Macaca fascicularis: one gene and its partners. The protein of the gene in region 4 binds, or shares a complex with, the protein of the main gene of each other region. Links are inferred from orthologs where the notes say so. Each region holds a gene or a part of one and is shown on either strand. Other genes may lie near its edges. The genes, in order: MED23, MED31, MED21, MED18, MED7, MED25 and MED8.

The links.
Region 1: MED18 (region 4) and MED23 share a complex: the UniProt entries of both Homo sapiens proteins name them as parts of the mediator complex. The link is inferred for Macaca fascicularis from reciprocal best matches to the Homo sapiens genes MED18 and MED23.
Region 2: MED18 (region 4) and MED31 share a complex: the UniProt entries of both Homo sapiens proteins name them as parts of the mediator complex. The link is inferred for Macaca fascicularis from reciprocal best matches to the Homo sapiens genes MED18 and MED31.
Region 3: MED18 (region 4) and MED21 share a complex: the UniProt entries of both Homo sapiens proteins name them as parts of the mediator complex. The link is inferred for Macaca fascicularis from reciprocal best matches to the Homo sapiens genes MED18 and MED21.
Region 5: MED18 (region 4) and MED7 share a complex: the UniProt entries of both Homo sapiens proteins name them as parts of the mediator complex. The link is inferred for Macaca fascicularis from reciprocal best matches to the Homo sapiens genes MED18 and MED7.
Region 6: MED18 (region 4) and MED25 share a complex: the UniProt entries of both Homo sapiens proteins name them as parts of the mediator complex. The link is inferred for Macaca fascicularis from reciprocal best matches to the Homo sapiens genes MED18 and MED25.
Region 7: MED18 (region 4) and MED8 share a complex: the UniProt entries of both Homo sapiens proteins name them as parts of the mediator complex. The link is inferred for Macaca fascicularis from reciprocal best matches to the Homo sapiens genes MED18 and MED8.

Annotation. Positions count from the first base shown.
Region 1 is NC_088378.1:35,560,580-35,564,563, forward strand, and holds part of MED23 (mediator of RNA polymerase II transcription subunit 23), read right to left. Parts: coding exon 3,966-3,984; intron 3,130-3,965; coding exon 2,915-3,129; intron 2,348-2,914; exon of another isoform or gene 2,203-2,347; intron 1,351-2,202; coding exon 1,230-1,350; intron 506-1,229; coding exon 374-505; intron 1-373. UniProt on the Homo sapiens protein: Required for transcriptional activation subsequent to the assembly of the pre-initiation complex. Component of the Mediator complex, a coactivator involved in the regulated transcription of nearly all RNA polymerase II-dependent genes.
Region 2 is NC_088390.1:6,692,372-6,696,900, forward strand, and holds the start of MED31 (mediator of RNA polymerase II transcription subunit 31), read right to left. Parts: upstream 2,865-4,529; 5' UTR 2,812-2,864; coding exon 2,784-2,811; intron 1,998-2,783; coding exon 1,920-1,997; intron 1,641-1,919; coding exon 1,544-1,640; intron 1-1,543. Other genes in the region: C16H17orf100 (uncharacterized protein C17orf100 homolog), read left to right, coding at 3,196-3,552. UniProt on the Homo sapiens protein: Component of the Mediator complex, a coactivator involved in the regulated transcription of nearly all RNA polymerase II-dependent genes.
Region 3 is NC_088385.1:29,775,636-29,780,053, reverse strand, and holds the start of MED21 (mediator of RNA polymerase II transcription subunit 21), read right to left. Parts: upstream 3,012-4,418; 5' UTR 2,982-3,011; coding exon 2,940-2,981; intron 1-2,939. UniProt on the Homo sapiens protein: Component of the Mediator complex, a coactivator involved in the regulated transcription of nearly all RNA polymerase II-dependent genes.
Region 4 is NC_088375.1:206,724,949-206,727,665, forward strand, and holds the end of MED18 (mediator of RNA polymerase II transcription subunit 18), read right to left. Parts: intron 2,466-2,717; coding exon 1,912-2,465; 3' UTR 915-1,911; downstream 1-914. UniProt on the Homo sapiens protein: Component of the Mediator complex, a coactivator involved in the regulated transcription of nearly all RNA polymerase II-dependent genes.
Region 5 is NC_088380.1:163,927,889-163,932,074, reverse strand, and holds the end of MED7 (mediator of RNA polymerase II transcription subunit 7), read left to right. Parts: intron 1-787; 5' UTR 788-804; coding exon 805-1,503; 3' UTR 1,504-3,569; downstream 3,570-4,186. UniProt on the Homo sapiens protein: Component of the Mediator complex, a coactivator involved in the regulated transcription of nearly all RNA polymerase II-dependent genes.
Region 6 is NC_088393.1:57,813,840-57,817,823, forward strand, and holds part of MED25 (mediator of RNA polymerase II transcription subunit 25), read left to right. Parts: intron 1-93; coding exon 94-224; intron 225-527; coding exon 528-615; intron 616-711; coding exon 712-905; intron 906-1,350; coding exon 1,351-1,479; intron 1,480-1,953; coding exon 1,954-2,039; intron 2,040-2,117; coding exon 2,118-2,175; intron 2,176-2,325; coding exon 2,326-2,433; intron 2,434-3,984. UniProt on the Homo sapiens protein: Component of the Mediator complex, a coactivator involved in the regulated transcription of nearly all RNA polymerase II-dependent genes.
Region 7 is NC_088375.1:191,387,756-191,392,483, forward strand, and holds the start of MED8 (mediator of RNA polymerase II transcription subunit 8), read left to right. Parts: upstream 1-1,681; 5' UTR 1,682-1,865; coding exon 1,866-2,221; intron 2,222-2,876; coding exon 2,877-3,021; intron 3,022-3,525; coding exon 3,526-3,666; intron 3,667-3,853; coding exon 3,854-3,935; intron 3,936-4,297; coding exon 4,298-4,546; intron 4,547-4,728. Other genes in the region: KICSTOR complex protein SZT2, read right to left, coding at 537-563. UniProt on the Homo sapiens protein: Component of the Mediator complex, a coactivator involved in the regulated transcription of nearly all RNA polymerase II-dependent genes.

The DNA of each region.
Region 1 (3,984 bases), on a different chromosome or scaffold from region 4:
GTTATGCTGTGGTTTGTCTAATGTCACCATGAGTGTTAGGAGAAGTAGGACCTCCTTTTCTCATAACACAACAACTTCTCTGCTCGTATTTCAGCAGCCATATCCCACTGTTTCTCCCTAATGAGATTATTATTAATTAACCCTCTAGGTCTTTTGGGGGAAAAGTACAAGAAATTATAACATGTATTTACTTTAATACTACATCTAGAATAATATGCCTCTGTTGCCTAAAAAGGTCTCAAACCCACCCATTTTCCTTAAAAAAAAATTAGACAAAATAAAAATAATCACTCAAACCAAAAAAGTCTATTACTATATGTTCAAGTTTTCTAAATTAAACATCATTAAAAATAATTAAACAAATTCAACTTACTTGCTCTTTCACGCTATCACCAGTAAACATATACTTCATGTGATATAGGAAGTCGCAGATGGGATCCATGTAATTTAAATGGGTGCTACACTGGTCGACATTCAGCAGCATGTCATAAAACGCCACACCAATCTATTTAACAAATAATGTAAAATTATTTAAGTGATTAAAAGCGATTCAATAATTCAGCATGATGCAGCTGGGCTCCATTATAACACTCACACTGGGGGATACTGTCTTTGTTGTAGAGCTGTCATATACTATACATACCTCTATGCACATGAGATATGATATGGCTTGCATTTTAAAAGAATCTATAGTGCTACAAAATGCCCCTGATAAGGCTTAAATAAAATTTCTCTTCATAGTTTAGTAATTTATCTTAAAATTAAGAGATAAACAATCCCCTTTCTAGACACCAGCTCTTGATGTCTAGGATAACTCCACTCCTAGGGATCCTTTGGTTTATACTTTCTTAGTTCCATTTGGTAGCTCTTGCTTTAAGGTTCTACTCCTGGGTGCTTTCCTTGTTTTCGACATCTTGTTAGAAGTGACTGACTTCATCCATTCTCATGATTTTAATTAGTTCCTCTGCATGTAAGATCTCAAGTGTACTTCTCCATCCTTAACCTCTTCTCAACCTTCATAATGGGTATTTCCCCTGCATCTCCAATTCAATACATCCCACCCTAAATTCATTACTGGCACACTAAGTCCTCTAAAGTTGCTCTTGGATCCTGTTAAACTAGTTTCACTACTAATGGTTGTGACCTGCAGTTTCAATAACACTGGTAAAAAACCTAAATAGATACTTCAGAATTTAATCATGTCACAGGAAATCCAGATTATATTTTACCTCTATCATACAACGAGTTCTCTCTTGCTGAAATCTTTGTAAAAATGGTCCAACAAGATGGTATACATAAAGCAACTGGAATTCAGTCTTCACTATAGGAAGAAGCACTTCAGTGAGAAACCTAAAATTTGAAGATAAAAATAAAAATCTCCTGTGACTTGAAATCATTTAAATTGTTTGAATTTTGTTAATACAGTATTTACAAAGTATTATAACAAAACATTTTTTAAAAAGTTCCTTTTACTTTGGTAACAATAATGTTTCTAATTAATCTCACATCTCTCACTGGCTATTACTTTCATTTGATTATTTTTATTTATTTATTTTTTTGAGATGGAGTCTCACACTGTTGTCCGGGATGGAGTGCAGTGGCGCGATCTCAGCTCACTGCAACCTCTGCCTCCCAGGTTCAAGCAATTCTCCTGCCTCAGTCTCCTGAGTAGCTGGGATTACAGGCGCATGCCATCACGCCTGGCTAATTTTTTTATTTTTAGTAGAGACGGGGTTTCACCATGTTGGCCAGGATGGTCTTGATCTCCTGACCTTGTGATCCACCCACCACGGCCTCCCTAAGTGCTGGGATTACAGGCATCCGCCACCACACTCAGCTAATTTTTTGTATTTCTACTAAAGATGGGGTTTAAATCAGATTTAAGTCATTCTTAATTGTAAAACTACTGATAGGTGAATCATCTGAAATAAAAAGAGAATAACCTAACAGAAATGCCACTCTCAAGAAATTTCAATCTAATTAATACCATTATTATGGTCAAGAAAAATAATCAGGAAATAGGATAATATCAGTTATTCAGTTTAAAAGGTAACTTTTGGGATATATTGTGGAAAAAGCATGCATTTGACTAAGCTTCTTCAAACTATAGTGGAAAACTAGATTATTAGATTATTACTAGCACATACAAGTCAATTTTTAAAAAACAACTCTGAAGCAAAAGGAGCTTTCTGATCAACTTACTTTGCAAGTTGTTCTTTTTCTGTTGTTTTTTTGAGATGGAGTCTTGCTCTGTCACCCAGGCTAGAGTGCAGTGGCGTGATCTCGGCTCACTGCAACCTCCGCCTCCTGAGTTCAAGTGATTCTCCTGCCTCAGGCTCCTGAGTAGCTAGGATTACAAGGAGCACACCACCACGCCCAGCTAATTTTTTTATTTTTAGTAGAGACAGGGTTTCACCATGTTGGCCAGGATGGTCTCGATCTCCTGACCTTGTGATCCACCCACCTCAGCCTCCCAAAGTGCTGGGATTACAGGCGTGAGCCACCGCGCCCGGCCACGAGTTGTTCTAATGAATGAAGTATATACCTCATCTGTTAATGAGATTAGAAAAAAAATGAAATACATCAAATTTCTTTTTTTTTCAGATGAAGTCTCACTCTGTCACCAGGCTGGAGTGCAGTGACGCGATCTTGGTTCACTGCAACTTCCAACTCCCTGGTTCAAGCGATTCTCCTGCCTCAGCCTCCTGAGTAGCTGGGGTTACAGGCACATGCCACCATGTCCAGCTAATTTTTGTATTTTTAGTAGAGATGGGTTTCACCATGTTGGCCAGGATGGTCTCAATCGCCTGACCTTGTGATCTGCCCACCTCGGCCTTCCAAAGTGCTGGGATTACAGGTATGAACCACCGCACCCAGCCTATGTCAAATTTCTTTAAGAAATTATTATACTTACTTTGGAATGAGAGAAAGTTGTCCGATGCTAGAATGGTGCCACACAGCATGTGCGAGAGCTAATGTATAGCTACAACTCATCTCAGAGTAGGACTGATGACAGGCAGTGAAATCAAAGAGGCGGAATGGATAGCCAACCCACTCTGTTTCAGACGTCAAGCTGGGGCTGCTGATGACACTCACAATTCGATCATGAAGAACAATCCAATACGGCTCCTTTAAAATTGGAGGAAGGCTAGTGAAAAATATCACTTATCCAGCATTCCACCCCAAAGTCTAAAGTAATAGTGTTTTCTCATTCTTTAAAGTTTTCTATTTCTCCAGCTTCTGCACATACAGTTGGGTGACTTCGTAACTGGTCAAATTAAGTCAGTAACAACCTGGGTGAAGTACCTGTGAGTTAGGGGGCTCCATACATGTATCTGTCCAGCTCATTTAGGTACCTGATATATACTATGCAGTAAATCAATTAATTTATCAAACAATAAATCTATAATTTTATTATTTATTTAAAAATAATAAACTTGTTAAAAATGTGTGTGGAGGTCAAAGAAAGGAGTCATGTGAGCTGGAAAAGTCAGGGAAGGCTTCATTCACTGAGAAAGGAGGCTCTAAGCTAGCAAAGAATGAACAGGCTTTAGAGAAGGTGATGGAAAGAAGTAAGCTCTGGAATACGAAAAATGTCTTATTCACTCACATTCAGAAGTACCTAAAACATGTCTTAAGCACTATGTGCAGGAACAAAAGCTGTAGATATACAACACGTTAAGCGGCCAAGAGTAGATCAGGCTATGATGTAAAAACTAAAGTTGGATAGGTAAGGTGGTACCAGAAAATGCAGAGGCCTGTAAGTCACATAGATATATTTAGATCTAATACAGAAAGGCAAACACTAGTCACTGTAGATTTTTAAAGCAGTAATAATATGAAAAAACTTTAAAAACATAAAATACTTCATTAACTTGCATCCTATATGCATCTTTTTCTTTTTGCTGACGTGGAACAGCTGGCTATATTTCATCACTAAGCACGAATCACAATTATTAACTCACTGGTAGGGCAGTGATGATC
Region 2 (4,529 bases), on a different chromosome or scaffold from region 4:
TCTTCCAGATTTGAAAGAGTAGTGGGAAATCTGCATTTGTTATATAAAAGTTTCTGATCTTCAAATGTTGGCAAGTATTAAAAAAAAAAACAAAACTAAAATCTTCTGCAGACTGAATAAAATGCCCAAAAGGGGCTAATCTGCAATCTCTCTTGAATGTAAGTATCTGGAAGGTTGTTGTCCTCAAGAGGGTATAGAATGGTTCTAGCTCAATCCAGGGACAACCAAGTTATCAAAATTAATGTCACCAGTAGTGGGACAAATAGACTTCATGTGACTGCAGATAGATGAAGGATAACACTACAATCAGACTAGAGCTACAAGGAGAGACATTATATCACAATATAAGGAATAACTTTCTACCATCTGGCTAACAGTCAAATCAGCTGTCCCTGACAGAGTAACATGGGCTCAGTGAAAACCTCCAGAGGGTAGGTGACCATCTCTCGGCAACGCTGTGGGTAAGATTAAACGTGTTGGTGGCTGAGGCTTCCAACACTGAGTCTGTAAATCTACATACATACAACATTTGTTGAAATCTATTTTTCTTAAAAGTCTTTTCTTTGGATTATTAAATGGATAAAAAGCCAGAAAAGGTGCAAAGGGTCCTGCAGGCAATATAAGATGTATATGCTTCGTGAGTCAATTGTTATTGGACACAGAAAAGTGACTTCGAAACAAGTTTGAAACATTTTCCTCTCAAACTTTTTTTTTTTTAAGGTTCACTATTGCTTTCTACCTGCTTAACACAAAGCAGGGATGAGTTCAAGGTGTTGTTTTTTTTTTTTTTTTTTAATCATTAAAAGGGAATAGGTTTGTGGTTATATGCTTCTTGCAATTCAGTAAGCCTTAACACGAAAGTGTCGCTGAATGACCTGAATGGTAAATATATATATATATATATATAAATGAGTTAATGCATATGAAGCATTTAGCACTGTTTCTGGCACATAAGAGGCCTTAAATAAAAGATAGCAACTCTAAGACTCAGGTTAAGATCACCTCCTCCAAATAACCCCAGAAACACCTTCCTTACAGATACCCTCTTTTAATTTCAGCCCATGGCTTATGTCACTTCATTTACAGACTGTGAGTTCTTCGGGACCAGAAACCTGGTGAGATGGGGAGGGTGGTGAAAGACAAGGTCAGACAAGGCAGGGCCAGATCATATAGGGCTTTAGCCCAAGAAAAGAGACTGGATTTTATTCTGCATGGTATGGAAAGTCATGGAAAGGTTCTAAGCAAGAAAGTAAAGTGTTCTGATTTATATTTTTAAATGACTAAGTTGGTTTCTGTGTAGAAAGCTGTTTTGCTTGGTTTGGTTTGGGGTGGAGGGGGGGCAGGAAGGTAAAAGTGGAAGCAGAGATAACCAGGGAGTAGATTACTGCAGTGATACAAGTTAGAGATGAGACTGTCTTGTGTTAAGATGGTGACAACGAAAAGAAGTGGAGAGATTCCAAATACATTTTTGCCAATGTGAAACGAAGAAATCTATCATATCATAAAGTATACACATGCTTAGGATTATAAAAATTAAACTTACTTTAGATACTTGGCATATTCTGGGTCTTTCCAGTAAAGCAAGTATTTAAGATAATTAACAAAAGCTTTGTCTTTGAAGTAACCTCTTTGGGCAAGAACTGAAAAGCATTAAAAAAAAAAATGTCTGTAGGTCAAACCAATCTTTAAACTATGCTTTGTTACCCCTAATGTAAAGGATCTATTTACATAAAACCCCCACCACCAACACACATTGAATTCAAAACACAAATCCCAGTGCGCAATTATATCTATATACCAGCATAAGTGTAATATCATTCAATTGAGAATGTGTAAAAGTAGATACTATTTTGAATTGCAACTCTTCTGTCAGAAATCATTAGTAGCTACTCAATTTAATGAGGTGCTTAACAACTTACAATTAAGGTAATTTGGGTTGGCTAAACATTGCACAAATTCCAACTCCAACTGAAACCGAAGTCGATTTCCAGCATCATCTAGGAGACAAGACAGCAAAAATCATGGAAAGTAAGGGTCACTGTATATAATACTGATTTGCAGTAAGGAAACAGCAATAAAGAAACCTGACTAATGCCGAGATGGTCTTCCTAAACTGGGAGTTGGGGGAGATAAACCTTTCTTCGAAATCTAAGAAAAGCGGAGCCCTGATTAAAAGGAGTTAGAAGTTTCTCTAAAATTAAAGAGAAATCATCAAAGAAAGCAGCAACACAAACGGAGAATTCCTAAGATCACTAAGGTAGGCTGTAACAACTATGGCTTCCCCTATGTTAATAATGCGTTATAACAATTGTTAACAGTGATTAAGTTTTGCAAAAGCTACGTGCTGAATCAGTTAAGAAAAAGTTAGGATGCAAGAGACTGCGTAGAGCCTAAAAGATCATGGAGCGTATGCATATAAGAAGCACCAGTAGCAGAATGACACATAAAGTCCGGCGACGATATTTCAAACTTAGGCAAGCTCATGTGAGAAGCAGAAAACCAATCAAGGAGGAGACGGTTTAACACACAAGTCCTCTCCCTTAGTCTCACCCACGCCGGGGAGCTGGTAGGGTGGTGTCTGAATAGCAAAGATGTGCGAACAAACCAAATTAGGAAAACTGCAAAGAGTACCTTAGTCTTTCTAGAAGCTACAAGAGCCTTCTCACCTCCTTGTCCAAATATTAACCCTGCCGAGATTAAGGCCTGGAAGGAGGCCACGGGGAAGCCGTCTGGACCGAGGGGAGTTCCATCTGCGAAGACTCCAAGATCAGAGAGCTACTCACCTGTCTCCATAGCGACGGCAGCGGCCATAACAAACGAAGACACCAAAACGCCACCAGCCTGACCGAGCAAAAGCCCAGAGTGGCGGGGGAAGTTCCGGAAACCACGGCTCTCTCTTCCGGTCCCGGGGCACTGTGGGATATGGGGCCGGGCGGCTCCGCCCATCCCGCCAGCCCTGGGATGGCTCCACCCGCGCTGGCTTCAAAATAGCGAGCGGGCGGGGCCCGGGCCGTGGGAGCGCCTGAGGGGCAGGAGCCCAGTGTTTTTAGCCTTGGAAGGATCATGGTGTTTCCACGTCATCGTGTTGTGGCGCTCCCGGCTATGGCAGTACCGTAGTTTTCCTCTCTTCTGCCTGCGGTGACCGTTGGGCTGGGGGGTGCCCCGAGGCCTCCTTGGCCCCCTCACGCCGGCAGAATGGCCTCAGCCCGAGGGGCCAAGCAGTCTTCTCCCCGGGTGGGGACCACCCGCTACACAGAGACGTCCACAGTCCGCGTGGAGACCTCGTCCCACCGCGTGGAGACGTCGTCCCGGCGGGTGGAGACCTCCCAGCGCCGCAGCGAGGGGCCCTCCCTCTCCCCCTTGGGGAAGCGGCTCCCTGGCATCCTCGAGGCGTCCTCCCGGCACGTGGAATCCTCCTCGCAGCGCACGGAAACGACCTCCCGCCACATCAGGGCCTCGTCCCTGAGGGTGGAGACGGCTCTGCACTGCGCGGAGAGCCCAGCCCCGCGGGCCAAGCCGGCCGCCCGCCAGAACGAAAAACCGGCCCGATGAGATGCTGCTTCCCAAAGGCCACCAAGGGGCCAGGGCCCTCAGCCAGGACAGAAAGGCCTCCAGTTGCCAGCCAGCTGCCAGGTGGACCAATCATTTTCGGTTTCATGGAAACAAACCATAAATCAATGGAAGAAACAGCCAAGCCGCAGTTTCTGAACACAGCCAACGTTTATTGACCATCCTGCGTCTTGGACCAGCCTACTTTTGACCCAGTGAACTATTTTCACTTGAAGCCAGCACAAAAGATTTTCATGCCCAGGATGCTGTCTAAATTGGCTTGATGGACAAAGAGGCTGTTTGAGCCTCTGAGCCAGGTGAGTTTGGGATCCACAGCCCTCAGAAGACCTTCACCCCTTAGGAACAGAGACCAAACTGAAATCATGACCTGTGGAATGATTCCATGCCTGCTAGAAACTTGAGGGGCAAGGAACAGACTCATAAATTATTAATGGCCTTTGTTTATGTTTCAAGGTAACTGGTGGTTTTCTTTATGCTAACTAAGTCTTTGTACCTGGCACTCCCATCCATACACTTTTTAAAGGTAGGTTAGATGTAGTTAAAAATGACAGTAAACCCACTAGCAAGCAAAAATAATCTTAGAAGAGAAAGTGAGAGGAGGCCATTGAAACCTGGTCTGAGGTTTGAAGAAGATGGAGAAGAGTCATATTTATTGAGAACCTGCTCTGTGCCAGGTACTAGATGTTCCTCCACTTACAATGGGGTTACCTCCCATTAAAACTATTGTAAGTTGAAAACACGGTAATTTGAAAAGGCACTTAATATCCCTAACCTACTAAACATCATAGCTTAGCCTAGCCTACCTTAAACATGCTCAGAACACCTAACGTTGAGCAAAATCATCTAACAGAAAGCCCATTTTATAATAAAATGTTGAATATCTCATGTAATTTATTGCATACTGTACTAAAAGTGAAAAACAATGGTTGTATGAGTGCTCAAAGTACTATTTCTACTGG
Region 3 (4,418 bases), on a different chromosome or scaffold from region 4:
ACTTATGACTAAATGGCTTTGCCCAGGTTTTAATAATAGTAATGGAGCAATAAGTGCTCAGACGCTATACAAACGTAGATCCCAGCTCTATTAACCCAGGTAGCATTTTTCATTTTTAAATTGGATACATTCTCCTATTACAGCATTGTTGTGAGGAAGAGGAAATACACAAAATATTCAACACAGTGTCTATCTGTTCCATCCTTCAAAAACTTTTAGGCCGGGCGCGGTGGCTCAAGCCTGTAATCCCAGCACTTTGGGAGGCCCAGATGGGCGGATCACGAGGTCAGGAGATCAAGACCATCCTGGCTAACACGGTGAAATCCCGTCTCTACTAAAAAATACAAAAAACTAGCCAGGCGAGGTGGCGGGCGTCTGTAGTCCCAGCTACTGGGGAGGCTGAGGCAGGAGAATGGCTGAGGCAGGCGAATGCTCGGGAGGCGGAGCTTGCAGTGAGCTGAGATCCGGCCACTGCACTCCAGCCTGGGCGACACAGAGAGACTACGTCTCAAAAAAAAAAAAAAAACTTTTAAGATCCATTCAGTCAACAAAACTTTATGGAAAATAACTATGACAAGTACTACATTTAAACACTATAGAGACATAGTGAATGCGACATAGCTTCTGCACTCATGGTTTTCAGAGGGTAGAACAAATGTTAAAAGTTATACAAATCTGATTAGGATAAATGCTAAGAAGATTCCCTCTATTTTGGTTCACATCACTCCATATTCCAATTTACTTCAGAACCTAAAGCTGAAAATACTCAATTCATTATAACTCCCTAACCACATACTGTTTTTCCATCACTTAAATGTCTCCTGAGTATATGACATTTTTTTAACCTCCTTAAGGAGTATCTCTTTGCAAACATGATAGTGCTTATACACAGTAGGCACTCATACTAGTTATCCTAAAGGCTTTTCTCCAAAATCCAATTATCAGTACGCCTAACCTGGAGTTAAGGCCATATTCACTCTGTCCTTACTATCCTTCTAGTTACAAGACATGTATGAATATGCAAAAGTTTCCCTAAAATAAGATTTCTATCCAGCAGCATCATTACAATTTGATTTTGTAAAATCTCAAAGGAGTAGTTCCCTGAGGAAGGCTGACTGGCAGCTCAGGCAAGTCCCTGCAGGGCAGAATTTATCTTGGTGAATTCAACATTTAGAAGCTGGTCCTCTCAGCCTTAAAAACTAGTGTTATTCACCCAGGGTAGATCAGTTTATCACAAGTAGATTCACACTCTTCAAGTGTACAAAGCCTGATGTATTAAGAAAAATGCCAAGTTATTAGCTTACAGTGAGGAAAAAAAACTGGCAAAGAAACCAGGTACTTAGGTTTTCCTCTCAGCATGTTTTCTCTCTAGTCCCTTATCTAGGACGTTAAATCACAATCAGACAATGAGAAACATAACTATCAATGGAAAACTATTTAACAGAAAACTATGTAACTGGTAATGGTAATAAGTATACCCATTGCAGCAAGAGAATACCCACTGACGTCTTGGTCAACGGGATGCATATATTATGTCGGTCCCCTATGGTTATAACAACGCTGAAAAATTCTTACTGCCTAGTGACATCATAGCGGTCTGTGCTTGTGGTGACGCTGCTGTAAAGCAACCTACGGCACTGCCAGTGTATGAAAGTCTAGCACATACAATTAAGTACAGTCCATGATACTTGATAATGATACTAAATGACTTTGTTACTGGTTTATGTATTTACTGTTTCATCGTTATAATACATTGTACTTCTACTTATTAAAAAAAAAAGTTATCGCCGAAACCATGCATTTCTCAGAACATAACCCCTTCATTAAGGGCCCATGACTGTATGCGCATCCTCTGGCTTTGCTTCTGCTTTCCACTCAGGCATAGCTTGGAGGAAAAATTACCAGAAGGAACAAAGCTGGGGAGCTACCTACAAGACTTGGCCTTTAATAGAGCGTAGAATTTGGGGGAGACGTTCAAAAAGACTTGTAAGCCGGGCACGGTGGCTCACACCTGTAATCCCAGCACTCTGGCAGGCCGAGGCGGGAGAATCGCTTGAGGCCGGGAGTTCGAGACCAGCCTGGGCAACATGGTGAAACCCCGTCTCTACTAAAAATAGAAAAATCAGCCGGGCGTGGTGGAGGGCGCCTGTAATCCCAGCTACTTGTTTGGCGGAGGCGGAGGGTGCAGTGAGCCGAGATGGCACCACTGTACTCCAGCCTGGGCGACAGACACAGTCTCCAAAGTAAAAAAAAAAAAAAAAAAAAGAAAAGAAAAGAAAAAAGAAAGACTCAAATAAACGGAAAGACATACGAGAATCAGAAGATTTCCTATCATAAAGATGTCCCCAAACTGATGCATTCTGAGGGGTGGCCAAGAGACAAGAGATGGAAGGAGGCTCTGGGCCCACAGGAAGGAGCGAAGATGAAAAATCTCTCGCCTCAGCGTCGCTCCGCACCAACCTGAAAGCGCTGGTGAAGGAATACTCTCGGCTGGCATTTCATTACAAAAACCCAGTCATCCACAGCACGAGATCTCCCTTGGTGGATTCAAATTGATGAGGAAAGAAAAGAGCTCCTGCTTCTCCTCCCAACCCCCAAAAGAGAGATGTAAGCACCGCTGCCAAGAAAATAAAACTGTCCTCAGGGAATACGACAGGACCGCGCAGCCGACAAGTCTTGGCGGCCCCACCCGGACAAGAGCAATCTTCCCGGTCTCCTCAAGCGAAAGAGGCTGCTCCCTCCCGCACCTTCAAGCACCGCCCGGCAGCCGGCCTCACACCTCCGAGTTCGCGGTGGCGCCTCCCGAGAGAGCGCTTTATGCCGAAGCCCTGTTTCTCAGTCCGCTTTCCACTTCCAAGTTTTGCCTCTTGGGCCCCTTTTCTCCCTTGCTTTACCTCAGGAAAGAGAAAGACAGAGGCTAATCGAATGAAATTCCTCACCGAATTCACAGCGTCTTGAAGCTGCGTGAGCCGATCCGCCATGTTCTTCCCGCAGCAAACCGACGCCAAAACAGCTGCTCTTCCGCGACTGGGCAGCTCTGGTACGCGTCATGGCCAATCCCAGCGCTGCCTTCTTGGAAGGGGTGGGGTCGGAGAGAACTCCCCGCCCGTCAGGAGTGGGTGGTACTGCCGAGGCGGCCTTAGAGCGGGCTACACCAGAGGAGAGGCTGGATCTTTTGAGTAACTGGGGAGCGGCCTGGGGTCCATCGCTTTGAGGGGCTGAAATACTCTCTTTGAGGTTGTTAGGTGTTAAAGGCTTCAGAGATCGTTGGATTCAGCGGGGATTTTTTTTTTTTTTTAGTGATTTCTCCTATCCTCTCATGTGTTTACTTATTGACTACATTGAAGAGTAGATATATTTATTTATTTTTATTTATTTATTTATTTATTTATTTTGAGACGGAGTCTGGCTCTGTCGCCTAGGCTGGAGTGCAGTGGCGCGATCTTGGCTCACTGCCAGCTCCGTCTCCCGGGTTCACGCCATTGTCCTGCCTCAGCCTCCCGAGTAGCTGGGACTTTAGGCGCCGCCACCACGCCCGGCTAAATTTTTTTTTTTTTTTTTTTTTTTTTTTGTAGTAGAGACAGGGTTTCACCGTGTTAGCCAGGATGGTCTCCGTCTCCTGACCTCGTGATCCGCCCTCCTTGGCCTCGCAAAGTGCTGTGATTACAGGCATGAGCCACCGCGCCCAGCCAAGAAAAATCAGCTGCACAATTTAGATTTAGAGTTGGGACTTATTGAGAGCTTAAGTGTGAAGAGTGATAATAGAAACTTGGTATTTAAGGAAATTTAGCCTGAGGATAGTCTGGTAAGAAATGAGTTTGGAGTCGGCAAATAACAGGTTTGGAGACATCAAACAAACTCTCATATCCTCTTTCTCAGGCTGATTATCCGTGATTACCTTCCTGCGGCTGCGGGGTAGGTGGTGGACACAGTCCCCGGGGAACTCAGCTTGCTGGATTTATCCCAACCCTTGCTGGGAAGCACCACTTCTGCTTCACACCCATGCCCCACCCTCATCCCCAAACAGTCTACAGACTTACTGGGGCCTCATTAAGAACGTGGATGAGGCATGCTCCCCATAATGGAACTAATGAGAAATCACTCCATAATTTGTTCTAACTGTAACTTGGGGGAATCTACAACCTTTTCCTCCCACCTTCACTTGAGCGTGTACCTTACTGAATGCCTGCCACATGCCAGGAAGTATATCCAGTGCTCAGTGTGCAAAGATGAATAAGCCAAGGACTCACCAAGAGGAAGGTTTTGCAGTTGTCCAAGATTAAGGTGAGCTGGGCCTAGAATAGGGTGTTGACCCTGATAAGAGAGGAAAAAAAGACTAAAATATATTTTTGAGAAAAATAATTAATACGGATTGGTGACTGATTGAATACAGTTTAGTCCACTCCGTAAGGATACTA
Region 4 (2,717 bases):
GACCAGCCTGACCAACATGGTGAAACTCCCTCTCTTAAAAATAGAAAATTAGGCCAGGCGCGGTGGCTCATGCCTATAATCCCAGCACTTTGGGAGGCCGACGCAGGAGGATCATGAGGTCAGGAGATCGAGACCATCCTGGTTAACACAGTGAAACCCCATCTCTACTAAAAATACAAAAAATTAGCTGGGTGTGGTGGCAGGCACCTGTGGTCCTAGCTACTCAGGAGGCTGAGGCAGGAGAATGGCATGAACCCGGGAGGTGGAGCTTGCAGTGAGTCGAGATTGTGCCACTGCACTCCAGCCTGGGTGACAGAGCAAGAGTCTGTCTCAAAAAAAAAAAGAAAAAAAAAAAATTAGCCAGGCGTGGTGGTGCATGCCTGTAATCCCAGCTACTTGGGAAGCTGAGGCAGTAGAATCACTTGAAAGTGGGAGGTGGAGGTTGCAGTGAGCTGAGATCATGGCAGTACTACACTTGAGCCTGGGCAACAAGAGCGAAACTCTTGTCTCAAAAAAACAAAAAAAAATTTAACAAAAGGAGATTGTAGACAAATATCTTGGAAAGATGTTAATGATAGATGAATGGGAAAAAAGGGTTATAAAGCAGTATATATGGAATCTTCTCTATAAAATAAACACATTTCATATACATAAATTTATAAAAAGTAAAGACTAGAAGGATAAATACCAAAATAGAACTAGTACTCTCTTTGGATAATAGGTGTTATTTTTTATCTGTACCATATTTTATAAGTTTTCAACAATAAATGTGCTACTTTTATGACAGGTGAAAACTCTCATCCTCATCTCTACCATAATTAAAACTAGGAACTGTCATTTTTTTGCTTCAACTGGTAATGAATCCACCCCAAATTTACAGGGTAAAGGAATAAAGAATCAGAATTACACAGACATTTCTCTTCATTGGCTTTATTACCATATAACACAAGCTCACAGCCTCTAATGTTACAAACCTTATACACAAATGGCCAAACAAGAAATTTTCCTTTCCAAAAGCTAATTTATTCCGGTTTCCCCTCTTTATTTTTATTTTTATTTTTGAGACAGAGTTTTGCTCTTCTCACCCAGGCTGGAGTGCAATAGTGTCATCTCTGGTCACTGCAACCTTCACCTCCTGGATTCAAGCAATTCTCCAGCCTCAGCCTCCTAAGTAGCTGGGATTACAGGCGCCCGCCACCATGCCCGGCTAAATTTTGTATTTTTCGTAGAGATGGGGTTTCACCATGTTGGCCAGGTTGGTCTCAAACTCCCGACCTCGGGTGATCCACCCACCCCGGCCTCCCAAAGCGCTGGGATTAGAGGTGTGAGCCACTGCGCTTGGCCTGGTTTCCCCTTTTAATAATACAGTGGGATTAGATAGATTCTCCGTGACATCCTGAGCCTTTAATGTAGAAAGGCTGTCACGAAAGTGAAATCACCACATAAGAACAATGCAAAGAACCAATTAATTCTCACCATCCTCTCCCTGAAGGAAGAATGCCTGCCTGGCAATGGTGAAATGAAGCATTTAAGACATATTTTTTTGGCCGGGCATGGTGGCTCATGTCTGTAATCCCAGCACTTTGGGAGGCCAAGGTGGGTGGATCACAAGGTCAGGAGTTTGAGAATAGCCTGACCCACATGGTGAATCTCCATCTCTACTAAAAATACAAAAATTAGCTGAGCATGGTGGTGGGTGCCTGTAATCCCAGCTACTCAGGAGGCTGAGGCAGAACTGCTTGAACCCGGGAGGCAGAGGTTGCAGTGAGTCAAGATCGTGTCACTGCACTCCAGCCTGGGAAACAGAGCGAGACTCTGTCTCAAAAACAAAATAAAACAAAAACCAAAAAAAAAGCAAACATTTTTTCAAGCAAGTAAGGACAGGCCCCAAATGTGGACAGATCCTCTTAGTCACATGAGCCTCTTGGGGTCTATTTTCTCTAGGTGAACCAGAGGTTTTAGCTGCTCTGCAAAGTTCTTCATGTCATCAGAGACCACATCCTGCCCAGCAGGTGCTACCACACTTAATTCCACGAGATAGGAGAGTGACAAGGCCTCAGTGCTGTCTGTGTTCCCTGGCACCAGGATGCGGAAAATCTTGTACACCATAATCTTCATGATGCCCTTACGGAACAAATGTCCCTTAGCAACAAACTCATGGTCCATGCGGAAGCCCATTTCCATCAAGAAGTCGGTGAGGTTCTCAGATGTGGCAATGTCCACGCAGTTTCGCACCAGGGCGTGGCGATTCTTGTCTCCCATTTCTGGCTGTCCCAGGTAGCGCAGATGCCAGGGTGCTCCTGCCCTGTCCATAGAGCGTCGGGCCCTAAGAACAAATGGGCTGGCTTGCTGGCCCTTAAGGAGGAATACCATCTCATGGTCAAGGAAAGTCTCAGGTTCCATGTTGTCACACAAACCACGAAGGCGGTGGATGAGGCTTTCCAAACTGTGATCTAAAACACTTCCTGAAAACGGAACAAGCACCACTGAGTCCTATCTTTCATTTTAGGTCATGGAGTTAGCATACAATTGAAAAAACTTAATGAAAAACCAAAACAGTTTAGTGAAGCATTTCATAAAACATAGGGCCAAACATGAGATTTTAGAGAAGTTGCACTACCAAGGTATTGTATAACGTTGTGAGAAAGTTATTTCCCTTTTCAATTTTTTGGAATTTTCTTATTTAACACTACAATGTCTTTAGGCCTCCTCTAATG
Region 5 (4,186 bases), on a different chromosome or scaffold from region 4:
GGATAATACCATGTGTTTAGTATTTAGCAGTGTTAATTTTGTCAGTGTTTATGAGAGATACAAGTAAGTGTTTGCTATTGGAAATCAATCTGTAACATAAAGCAAAAGTGATTGTGATACGAGATTGGGAGACAACATGTGTAGTTTGGTTATGGAGGAGTAGAGAAATGGGGGCATAAATGGTGAAGGGTGTGGAATCCAGAAGATTTTCTTGTTTTTTTTTTGAGACAGATTTTCGCTCTGTCGCCCAGGCTGGAGTGCAGTGGTACAGTCTCGGCTCACTGCAAGCTCCGCCTCCTGGGTTCACACCATTCTCCTGTCTCAGTCTCCTGAGTAACTGGGACTACAGGCACCCGCCACCATGCCCGGCTAATTTTTTTTGTCTTTTAGTAGAGACGGAGTTTCACCCTGTTAGCTAGGATGGTCTCGATCTCCTGACCTTGTGATCCACCTGCCTCGGCTTCCCAAAGTGCTGGGATTACAGGTGTGAGCCATCGCACCCGGTGGAAGATTTTCTTTAGAGATCAGAAGATGCTACAGATTTTTTCATGCTGATGAAATTATTAGGGAGAGAATGGAAAATATGTGAATGGTTGAGAATATAATGCCTACTTAGAAAATATGGCAAACTTTACCTATCATAAATGTTAGTTTTAGAAACCAAGGAGATCATCTTGTCTTGGACCCCAAACTACTGGAAGAAAAGGAAGAAAATATTCTGTCTGTAGTTATGAAATGTAACAGGTTTGTTTTGTGGCTCTAATAAATCTTTGGTCTGTGTCCATAGGTTCTTGATAGTCCACAATGGGTGAACCACAGCAAGTAAGTGCACTTCCACCACCTCCAATGCAATATATCAAGGAATATACAGATGAAAATATTCAAGAAGGCTTAGCTCCCAAGCCTCCCCCTCCAATAAAAGATAGTTACATGATGTTTGGCAATCAGTTCCAATGCGATGATCTTATCATCCGCCCTTTGGAAAGTCAGGGCATCGAACGGCTTCATCCTATGCAGTTTGATCACAAAAAAGAACTGAGAAAACTTAATATGTCTATCCTTATTAATTTCTTGGACCTTTTAGATATTTTAATAAGGAGCCCTGGGAGTATAAAACGAGAAGAGAAACTAGAAGATCTTAAGCTGCTTTTTGTACACGTGCATCATCTTATAAATGAATACCGACCCCACCAAGCAAGAGAGACCTTGAGAGTCATGATGGAGGTCCAGAAACGTCAACGGCTTGAAACAGCTGAGAGGTTTCAAAAGCACCTAGAACGAGTAATTGAAATGATTCAGAATTGCTTGGCTTCTTTGCCTGATGATTTGCCTCATTCAGAAGCAGGAATGAGAGTAAAAACTGAACCAATGGATGCTGATGATAGCAACAATTGTACTGGACAGAATGAACAAAGAGAAAATTCAGGTCATAGGAGAGATCAGATTATAGAGAAAGATGCTGCCTTGTGTGTCCTAATTGATGAAATGAATGAAAGACCATGAAAGATGTTTATGTTTCTTTTTTCCTTTTGATAAATAGCCTCATATATTAGTTTATTTTCTTTTGGACAGTCTTAAGAGAGGTTTCACTAAAAATGTAAACAGCTTTAATCTTGACTCCAACTTTTTCAATTATGAGATGTCATAGGCAGTAATTTCACTGTATAACAAGCATAGACAAATGAGTACCCCTGCACTAAGAATAATCACTTTAAAAAGCAAAGTGTTCACCGCTGTTGTATGGGACATTCCTATGTTTTGGAGTTGCGGTAAAACTTTGATGATAACCTCAGTAATAGCAAAAGTTTTCGTCTTTGAAAAGGGGATTTATCATTTGCTTTAAGAATGATAGAGGAATAATGGATATCAATCTATAAATGTAAAACTATGATATCTTTAAACTTATTCCATTAAAAATTTTGCTTAAGCTGCAAAAGGTAGTATAACATGTTAATAGAGAGGAGCCCAGAAGAATTATAAAACAGAAACTTTATTTTTTCCTCATGACTGCTCCTGTAAACCCACTATCTCAGTCTTTTCTCCCTATCCTGAATAGACTCTTGCAGGCAAGTCCCATGAATTGTTTTTTTCTCCAGTCACTCAGGTAATAAGTCCTTTGGCCATTTTAAGTTACAGACATTAATTTTAGTAATTAAGATGTCTATGTCATTAGCTACACATTTTCTTTAAAGCTAAGCCCAGACTTGCTTAAGTCCACATTGGGAAAGGGGTTTGACGGCAGAGACTGCTAGGTGTCTACCAGAGAGTCTTGTTCTTTGAAGATACGTTGCCAAGATGTGGCAACCCAACCAGGGACATTTCCGTACTGCCAGCATCTCTGTGAGAACATATGATTAAGTTCTAGGCAGTGAAATGTGGGCATAGGAATCCAGGCTTGCCCCATAAACATTTCTTGCATGATCCTCCATTCTTTTCTCCCAACTGCTGGTTGCATGGTCATATCCAGGATAAGTTTGGAAGCCACCGAAGATGGCAAAGATTGTCAGTCTGGGTCTTTGAATGACTGTGAGGACTAAGTCTTCTTTTCATTAACTCCACTCTGCCCCTCACTAATTGGACTTTATGTGAGCACTTTCTTCTCCCCACTGTCCATCACCTCTTCCACCAAGGTGTTAGTAGAGAGTTGACTTTGTTTCTGAGGATCTTTGCCTGCCATTTTCTTAATGTAGGCCAGTAGTTCTTAAAGTGTGTGGTCCTGGACCAGCAGCATTGGTACCATTTGGGGACTCACTAGAAATAAAAGTTTTAGTATAATCCATAGGTTCAGAAAAATAAAAAATAAATGAAGTTTCTCTAGCTCCATCCCAGACCTTTTCAACCAGAAAGTTGAAAAGACCAGCGGGGGCAACATAGTGAGAACTTCTCTCCATTGCTATTTAATTTTAAAAGGAAAGGATATAGGGTATGTTGATTGAAGGATAAGTTGAACATATAAACCATGAGGAGGACAGAAAGTGTCTGAAGTTTTGAGTTAGTAGCCCTGGAGACCATCCTTCCTGTTAGCTTCATTCTCTTTACTGATGAACTTCTTTAATGATGTAGGTGGAGAACATGGCAACTAACAGTTCCCATGTGTTAAGCATTTCTATGTTTACCACTGTCTGGGAGTTCTCTCTCAAATACGAAAAAAAATGAGGTTAATTAACGACCTAGACATGAGGAATTAGGGGTTGCATACTTGATTCCAACTGGGCAAATCAACTGGGACTTGGCTCCCATAATAATTTGACAGTCCCCACTATGTCTATGTATGGAAGAGTCAGTCTGTCTCAGAGGAAGGAAGTGGTGCTGAACTAACAACGAGATATCCACTACAGATCAGGCACGTGTAAACTTAATATAAATAGCAAAAATAAACTGACTGTACAAATCTGTGTTCTCTTTATGAGAGTAGTTTTTCCCCAGCTATTCATTTATTCATGGTATTCATTTGATGAATACTTACTGTGGTCACCTCTATGCCTGATGCTAGTTTAAGTGTTGGATGTGTCGGAAGGGCGAAGGAAAATGTAACTAAGATAATAAAACGAATTGATTTTTGAAGGTGATAGTTTGTGTCTTAACTATTCAGCCATTACAGCACCTTCAGAAGAATCTTGCTTCCAGTTATGTTTCTATTGTCTGTTCAAATCACCTTGTCCACATTATCTTCTCTTTTCAAGGCATGTGTACATGTTCACTTCTTTTTTATCTCTTAAAACTTTTTTTTTTTATTTTTTGAGATGAAGTCTCATTCTTTCGCCAGGCTGGAGTGCAGTGGCGCAATCTGGGGCCACTGCAACCTCCAACTCCCAGGTTCAAGCGATGCTCCTGCCTCAGCCTCCCGAGTAGCTGGGACTACAGGCACGTGCCACCATGCCCACTAAATTTTGTATTTTTAGTAGAGAAGGAGTTTCACCATGTTGACCAGGATGGCCTGGATCTCCTGACCTCGTGATCTGCCCGCCTGGGCCTCTCAAAGTGCTGGGATTACAGGAGTGAGCCACCATTCTTGGCCTAAAATTTTTTTTTTCTCTTTGAGTAGAGATGAGGTCTCACTATGTTACCCAGGTTGGTTTCAAACTCCTGAGCTCAAGTAATCCTCCAGCCTCCCAAAGTGCTGGGATTACAGGAGTGAACCACCATGCCTAACCTCACATTTGTTAAGGACTTTAGAAGACAACTT
Region 6 (3,984 bases), on a different chromosome or scaffold from region 4:
CCCAGCTCCCTCTGACTTGGATTTTGGATTTCTCTCCCCTTTCTCCATCTTGAATCCCTTCTTTCCGGGGTTGGCCATCCCTCCTGCTCTCAGTTGGGGGTGGCTCTGCCCCAGGCCCCCTCCAGCCAAAGCAGCCAGTCCCCCTGCCTCCTGCCGCACCCTCCGGTGCCACTCTCTCAGCAGCTCCCCAGCAGCCTCTGCCCCCCGTCCCCCCGCAGTACCAGGTATGGATGTTTCCAGGAAGGGACATGCTTCTGGGGACTTGCTGGAGCCCTGGCCCCTGGGGAGAGATCTAGTTGCATGTTGGAGCTTGTGGGATGATGGGAGTCCCATGGGACATTGGGAGGGTGGGACTCCTGGGGCCATGGAAGCTCATCTGCTAGGTGATGGGTGTCGTGAGCTTCTGAGCTCTCCCAGCTGGGGCAGCTGTGCCTTGTGGGGCCGTGGGTGGTGTGACCTCGTGGGACACCAGGATTGGAGGGCCATGGTCCTCACCAGTCCCTTTCCTTCTTCCCTTCTACCCACAGGTTCCTGGGAACCTGAGTGCAGCTCAGGTGGCCGCCCAGAATGCAGTGGAGGCTGCCAAGAACCAGAAGGCTGGGCTGGGCCCTCGCTGTGAGTCCTGGGGCGAGAATGAAGGGGCGGGCAGGGGCCAGGCAGGCCTCCCTCCACACACTTGTTCCTCACTTCTTCCCTTGGTCTCTCCCACAGTCTCGCCCATCACCCCTCTCCAGCAAGCTGCTCCCGGAGTGGGTCCCCCCTTCAGCCAGGCCCCAGCTCCCCAACTACCCCCAGGACCCCCTGGTGCCCCCAAGCCACCACCTGCTTCCCAGCCCAGTCTGGTCTCCACCGTGGCCCCTGGCTCCGGTCTGGCTCCCACAGCGCAGCCCGGGGCACCGTCCATGGTAGGTGCCTGCACACCTCCTGCCCCCACTCCTTCCTCCTGCTGCCCACAGCTAGGACAGTTAGAGGATGAGTCATTTGCCTTCCAGGGGGGTGTGGATCTGGTGGCCCTGGGGCCTTGGGGGTTCGTGGTACGTGTGCTGCAGATGCCTGAGATGAGGGTCTGGGGACGGAATGGGGAGGCTCATGGCTCCAGGTGGGTCAGGGCTGTTCTGAGAAACACAAGGAATCCCTGGGTTTGGGAGTCCGGGGCATCACACAGCTTATGAGTCCTGGAATCCTGCAGCATCCAAGCATTTCGGGTCCTGGGGCTGGCCAAGTGCTCTTCTGGGAATGGATGAGCAGAAGAAGGGGCCTTTCCTTCTTCCTGGTTTGCCCTCACAGGATGGCCCCCGGAGGCCCCCCTCTTTCCTCATTCTCATGGCCCTCCTTCCTCCTCTCTGGCAGGCAGGCACTGTGGCCCCAGGAGGGGTGAGTGGCCCTTCCCCAGCCCAGCTAGGAGCCCCAGCCCTCGGTGGGCAGCAGTCAGTCTCCAATAAGCTTCTGGCATGGAGCGGGGTCCTCGAGTGGCAGGAGGTGAGGGGCCTGAGGGTCCATTGGGCACTTGGGACTCCTGGGGCCATGGGGCTGGGCATGTGGGACTCATGGGTCACATGCATGGGGTTTGCAATGCTGGGTTTGGGGGCATTCCTTGGGCTGGACCCGTGGGATCCGGGACCAGGCCAGGAGCCCCATGGAGCAGTGGGACTTGCGGTACAGAAGAGAGTCCCCATGCAAAGAACCCAGAAAAGCCTAGGATTTGGGGCCCAGAGAAGGGCCCAGGTGATGTAGCACCTGGGGCACAGTGGATTGTGGGATTTAGGGGCCGGGAACGTAGCCCTAACATTTGAGGAATTGAAGGTTTGCTGGTCTGGAGGAGGGGCCAGGGGCTCATGGGACTTAAACTGGGGAACATCCTGAGCTTTGGGGCCAGCAGGCTAGGACATGAGGGCTCAAGGGGACTGAGGCTTATGGCCCATTTTACTTTGACATGCTCTTTTTCCCCCTCAGAAACCCAAACCTGCCTCAGTGGATGCCAACACCAAGCTGACACGGTCACTGCCCTGCCAGGTCTATGTGAATCATGGCGAGAACCTGTAGGTGACTGTCGGGTGGGGTGCGGTGGGGCTGGGGCTGGCCCCCTCCTCACACCTCTCCTGGCATCACCCCCCCAGGAAGACTGAGCAGTGGCCCCAGAAGCTGATCATGCAGCTCATCCCCCAGCAGCTGCTGGTGAGTGGTGGTGGAGGGCCAGCCCTGCTGCCAGGCAGCCCTCACCCTACTGTCTCTTCCCTGTTCCCTGCCCTACCCCCACTCCCTGCCTCGTGTGCCCACCTCACTTGCCCACACCAACATGCCAGCTGACTTCTGTGTCTCCCGCAGACCACCCTGGGCCCTTTGTTCCGGAACTCAAGGATGGTCCAGTTCCATTTCACCAACAAGGACCTGGAGTCTCTCAAAGGCCTCTACCGCATCATGGGCAATGGCTTCGTGAGTCCAGGGCATTGGGGGCCGAGGGGCATTAACTCTTGTACTGCTTTCTGCTGACCTTTGAAGGGAATCCCAGAGTGCCTGGGCCCATGGAAGCCGTTTTTGATGGTTGGGTGGACTTCATGCCCTTAGGTTCCTCGCCTTTCTTCTAGAGCCTTGACTTTTATTATAATCATCGTATGCACCAGATTGAGGGATATTCCACATTAAAAATGTGAGCTGGATGTGACTGGAGCAGTTAGGAGGAAGCTGTTGATTCTGGCATGGGTTTATGGGATGTGTTCGTTTCCTGTGGCTGCGGTAACACATTACCACAAGCAGAGGGGCTCAAAACAACAGAAATGTGTTCGATCCCAGTTCTAGAGGCCAGAAGCCCAAGGTCAGGGTGTTGGCAGGACCGCGCTCTCTCTAGAGGCTCGAGGGAAGGCCTCCTCATTGCCTCTTCTAGCCAGTAACCCCAGGCTGCAGGTGGCATCGCTCCAGGGTCTTCCTTGATCCTGTGGCTGTCTGCCCTCTGTGTGTGTCTCTATGTGGCATTTTCTGTATCTCTGTGTCCCTGTGCTTATAAGGACATCAATCATTTTGGATTAGGCCCCATTTTCCTGATCTCATCTTACTACAACTGCAAAGACCTTCTTTCCAGATAGAGTCTGGAAAAGGTGCTGGAGACTGGAACCTCAGTTTAGCTTTCTGGTTTTGTTTTTTGAGACAGAGTTTCACTCTTGTCACCCAGGCTGGAATGTAGTAGTGCAATCTTGGCTCACAGCAACTTCCGTCTCCCGGGTTCAAGCGATTCTCCTGCCTCAGCCTCCCGAGTAGCTGGGATTACAGGCATGTGCCACTATGCCTGGCTAATTTCTGTATTTTTTAGTAGAGACAGGGTTTCACCACGTTGGCCAGGCTGGTCTCGAACTTCTGACCTCAAGTGATCTGCCGCCTTGGCCTCCCAAAGTGCTAGGATTACCAGTGTGAGCCACCGCACCCAGCCTCAGCATAGCTTTCTGGGAGACACAGTTCACCTTGTAACTCGGGGAAGGAGCAGATCAGTTACTTCTGTGCACCAGGCATTCCTGCACGAAAGAGGACCTTAGGGATCACCTCATGGGATCCTCACAGAACCGTGTGAAGAAGGCATTCCTGAGAGTTAGGAGTGCTTCTGGCTGCAAATAACATAGTTTTCCAAACAAATAGATAATTGGGGGCACTCAGAAAAAATTTTCTCTTATGATTCTGTGAGTCACCTGGGCTCAGTGGCCATCTCGCTTGGGGACTCTCATGGAATTGCCATCAGATGGCAGCTGAGACTCTGGTCGTCTGAAAGCTTGACTGGGCTGGATGTTCAAAATAGGCGCTCCTCATAGGCCGGGCGTGGTGGCTCACGCCTGTAATCCTAGAACTTTGGGAGGCCGAGGTGGGCGGATCACGAGGTCAGGAAGATTGAGACCATCCTGACTAACACGGTGAAACCCCGTCTCTACTAAAAATACAAAAAATTAGCCGGGCGAGGTGGCGGACGCCTGTAGTCCCAGCTGCTCCGGAGGCTGAGGCAGG
Region 7 (4,728 bases), about 15 Mb from region 4:
ATCGGGGAAGACTCGCCTGAGCTTGCACAGATTAGCTACATGACAGCGCCAATATTGGAGCGAGGTCTCAGTCCGACTCAAATGTTTTTTTCATGAAATTAAAGCTGCTTTTCTAAAAGCATGGGCCCTAGAACTAAATGAATTCATGCTGTTTACAGCATTCCAATGCCTAAAGAAATACAAAACCCGGCAAACTAAATCTACTGCCGTGTTGCCCATTGAAACTGCAACAGAAAGTCAAAATACAAATTTTGTTAATACCACTATCATTAGGTCAAAGAGTTGACGACGCGGATGACACGTCAGTAAACAAAACAAAGCAAAAAGAGTTACTCCTTTAGCTCCCCGAGGAAACTGCAGACCGCGTCCCATAGTCCGCAGGGGTACCATAGTCGGGCCTTCCGGGCTGGGCTGGTCCCTGCCGAGGCTACGCAGCCCGGCCACCCCCAGACCCAGAGGAGGCCAACGCCACGCCTGCCCGCCGGACCCTCCCCCTCGGATCTCAGGGCCCAGTGCTGCGTCCGCCCGCCCCTCACCTCCGGCTCGGGGCGCTCCGAGGCCATCACACAAGCCCTCCCGCGCCGGCCCGGGCCCGTGTGTTCCACTCTTGACCCCTGACCTGGCTACCTCGGCACCCGGAAGGAACAGGAAGTGGGTGGGAGGGCCGAGTTCCAGTTTTCTGATTGGTGGACGAAGCCTTCTCAGAGGCGTTTGCTGACAGGAAACCGGAAGTGGAAATCGTTGCAGTCGCCTCGGCCGCCGCAATGCAGGTGAGAGCCGCGTTGGGAGTGCTAGCGGCTGGCCAGCTTCGGCTACAGGGAGCCAGAGTGGGCTGGCTAAGGAGAATGAAGAGTTGGGACTGAGAAAAGAGGGCAGAACCCACGGCTGATAAGGGAACGTGGGTTGGGGGGCGAGGTTAATTGGAGAGGGAGCGGCGCAGATGAGAGGTGGGGGTGGAGCTCGCCTGACAGAAGGCGGTCGGGCTAAATCCGGAGGGAGGAGGCAGCACTGACTTGCTTGGCGTGGGAAAGGATTAGGTTGTAATACGGGGAGGCCGAGATGCAGTCCAAGGAAGACGGCTCAGGAGGTGGTGGGTTGGCTCAGGCCCTGTCCTAAGCTGCTGGATGGAGGCTGTTGGATGCCGATATAGCAGGGGATCTAATTGGAAAGAAGCCCAAGCAGTGAGGGAATTGTGGGCCGCGGTGTCCGAAAGCTAAGCAGCTTGTAATGTGAGGCCATGGTGGAACCCAGGATCAAGTTCCTGTCAGGCACCTTAGCAGGTTTGCAAGACAGTTTTGCATCACTCTTCCCAGCCTGTGCCCTATAGTTGTTAAGGGTGAAGAAATGGAATAAAACAGGATACCACCGATGGGAAGGAAATGCTTTGCAGACCCCCGGCATTTTAATTTGTTTGTTCAGTGCTTAGAAGCATGTGCGGTTTTGGTTTTCATTTGTCACTTAGTTTCCTGCAGCTGGTAGTCTCAAGAAATGTTATTGGGTTGACCGAGCTTGTGAAAGAGGCACGGGAATATTGACACAGAGATAGATGGGTGCATATTAATTCAGCGAGGAGAAGGTTGAAACATGAAATGATGAGAGCAGATGGAAAGCTGGAGTGGTTGGTGGGGGGAGGGAAAGAGGAGAGCAGGGCTGGTATTCAGAGAAGTCTTCATGAGTAGGCAGATTTCCCAGAGACTGACAAGAGAGCCAGGCTCACAAATGCTAGGATGGAGGAAGCTGGAGTGCATGTGCTACAGAGGTGCACATGAGATAATGATCTGGCATTAGGTTTGTCGAAAATGTCTCAATGAGGGAGTGTAGGGTGTACCTAATACAGAGAAAAACCAGGCATAGATTAGGAGCGGATGGGAAAAAGGAATCAGTTGGTGGAAGTACTTGGGTCAGGCAAACGGTTGAAAGGTCTCAGGGTTGATGCTGTCTATAACCCAAATACCACAGATAGGAAACAACCTGGTTATCCTATGCCAATGAGATCCTGTTACCTGACTGGTGTTTGCACACCATCTCCTTGGCTTTTCAGCCCTCCTTTCTATGTGTCATACTCGTTTATCTGGGTAACCAACCTGTTCCTATTGGTGCAGAGAGAGGAGAAGCAGCTTGAGGCATCATTAGATGCACTGCTGAGTCAAGTGGCTGATCTGAAGAACTCACTGGGAAGTTTCATTTGCAAGTTGGAGAACGAGTATGGCCGGCTGACCTGGTAAGGGTTGCCAGGGCAAGCTAGGGAGGGCTTATGGGTGGGGGGGCCTAGCCTTCTGATGAATAGGACACTTCTAATGATGTAACCATTTATCAGTTTACAAACATCTTTTGATTTGGAAAGAGCTGGGTTTCGTAACATTTAGCAAGTGGCTTCCATGGCAAGGAAGTAGAGAAATGCTCGGTTTCCTAACCCAAGTTCATTATAGCTTTCAATTCTTACCCTTTGACTTCTCTGGTGAGGAGGTCCTCCTATTACAGCTCTATTTGTGCTGGATCTCTTGCCACAAATATGGCTGAGTCCTTTAGATCCAACCTACTCTGAAGTGTGGATCCTATTTCCAGGCTGGAAAGAAGGATTTTACCGGGTTTCTGAAGTTTTAGTTATAACAGTATAGTCCTATTTTGCCACTGTTCCTCACCTCATTCAAACAATGAACTGGATTTTTTCTACATCTGTTTCATAAACTGAAACTATGTCCCTCTTTCATAACCCTGTCATCCTTGTTAGTTTCTTCCCACTTAGGCTAGTCATAGGGCTATGAGACTTTTGGGGATAAATCCGAGTGTTCCTAGCCTGAAGGAACTAGGACTATTTTACTAAGAACCACCCAAGGAAGGGGTGGAACATTCTGACACCTGCTTACTGCCAACAGGCCATCTGTCCTGGACAGCTTTGCCTTGCTTTCTGGACAGTTGAACACTCTGAACAAGGTCTTGAAGCATGAAAAAACACCGCTGTTCCGTAACCAGGTCATCATCCCTCTGGTGTTGTCTCCAGACCGAGATGAAGATCTCATGGTAAGAGCAGAAAAAGAATACAACTTGGGAAATTAAGGAGTTTTTTAGGCTTCTTTACTATTTAGGGAAATTAAGTTCTTAGCTGAGAACTTAGAAATAATTTTGGAGGCCTTGCTTTTTGTTCTTCTGAAGGTGGGAGAGCCACTCCCAAATAGTGTTGTAATAACCTGAGGGGTATGTCACCAAGGCTGGTACCTTCCTTCTCCAACATCTGTCTCAAGCCACAAAGTCTGCCCTTTGGTGACTTTGTCTGTTTCAGTCTTTGAAACGTGGCAGACAGTGATAGTTTAATTTGCCTCTAGGTCTGGTAGAGATAGGGATGTGAGAAGACACAAAAAATGAAGGCTGGAGTAAAGGAGATTGTGTCCTAGGAAACTAGATATTATGTCTTAGGTTGTATTTTCCTTGAAAATGCACTGTTTGCCTGTGGATGGGACTGTATATCAGGCCAGATAGAATCTTCTTGGAGTGCATAGTAGGATCAATAAAATCTGTGTGTTGCAGCGGCAGACTGAAGGACGGGTGCCCGTTTTCAGCCATGAGGTAGTCCCTGACCATCTGAGAACCAAGCCTGACCCTGAGGTGGAAGAACAGGAGAAGCAACTGACGACAGATGCTGCCCGCATTGGTGCAGATGCAGCCCAGGTTGGACTGAGTCACTGCCTTGCTGCCCCATCCCCATCCCATCATGAGAAGCTAGGCATTACCATTCCTGTCTAGTAGGGATGCATAGTTGGTTGCACCTAAGCTGCTTCTGGCAGAACCCAAGGAATAAATTTGTCCATATCGTTTCCTAGTTACCCTAATCTCTGCACAAATTTGTGTGTTACAGAAGCAGATCCAGAGCTTGAATAAAATGTGTTCAAACCTTCTGGAGAAAATCAGCAAAGAGGAGCGAGAATCAGAGAGTGGAGGTATGGTGGACTGGTGGCAAAACAGAGAAGGAGAGGTATATAAGATCACTGGAATGGGAATGGTTGTTTCGAGAGTAGTGAAGTTAGGACACAAGAGTGAACTGCTTTAGGGTTTGCATCCATTCTGTTAGCCTTTTGTATTTAAGGCCAACCCTGAAGCAGTGGAGGAAATGGGCAAAGTAAGAAGAGAGAATTCTGAGATAGGCTTGGGGGTCCTCTGGCTCTTTTTATGGGCTGTGAGGGAGTCTAGATGCTGCTGAATTCAGAACTCTAAACCCTGGCACTCATACTGGTCTTCCAGCTGCCACGTTCAGTCCTGCATCAGAAACATACTTCAGGATCCCCACTTACTTTTTCTTCAGGTCTCCGGCCAAACAAGCAGACCTTTAACCCTACAGACACTAATGCCTTGGTGGCAGCTGTTGCCTTTGGGAAAGGACTGTCTAACTGGAGACCTTCAGGCAGCAGTGGTCCTGGCCAGCCAGGCCAGCCAGGAGCTGGGACGATCCTTGCAGGAACCTCAGGATTACAGCAGGTGCAGATGGCAGGAGCTCCAAGCCAGCAGCAGCCAATGCTCAGTGGGGTACAAATGGCTCAAGCAGGTCAACCAGGTAAGGTGGCAGGGGTTGAAAGGAAGCTGACTTTGAGCAGGGGAGCTGGAGGGAATAAGCTAGATTATCTGGGCCTCCAGCATCTCTAGACCTAGAGATTTTCTCCATTTCTCCTTTGCACTGTGACCCAGGAAATAATTTTCAGAAGTAAAAAAATCTCATTTGAGACTCTGCATAGGCAC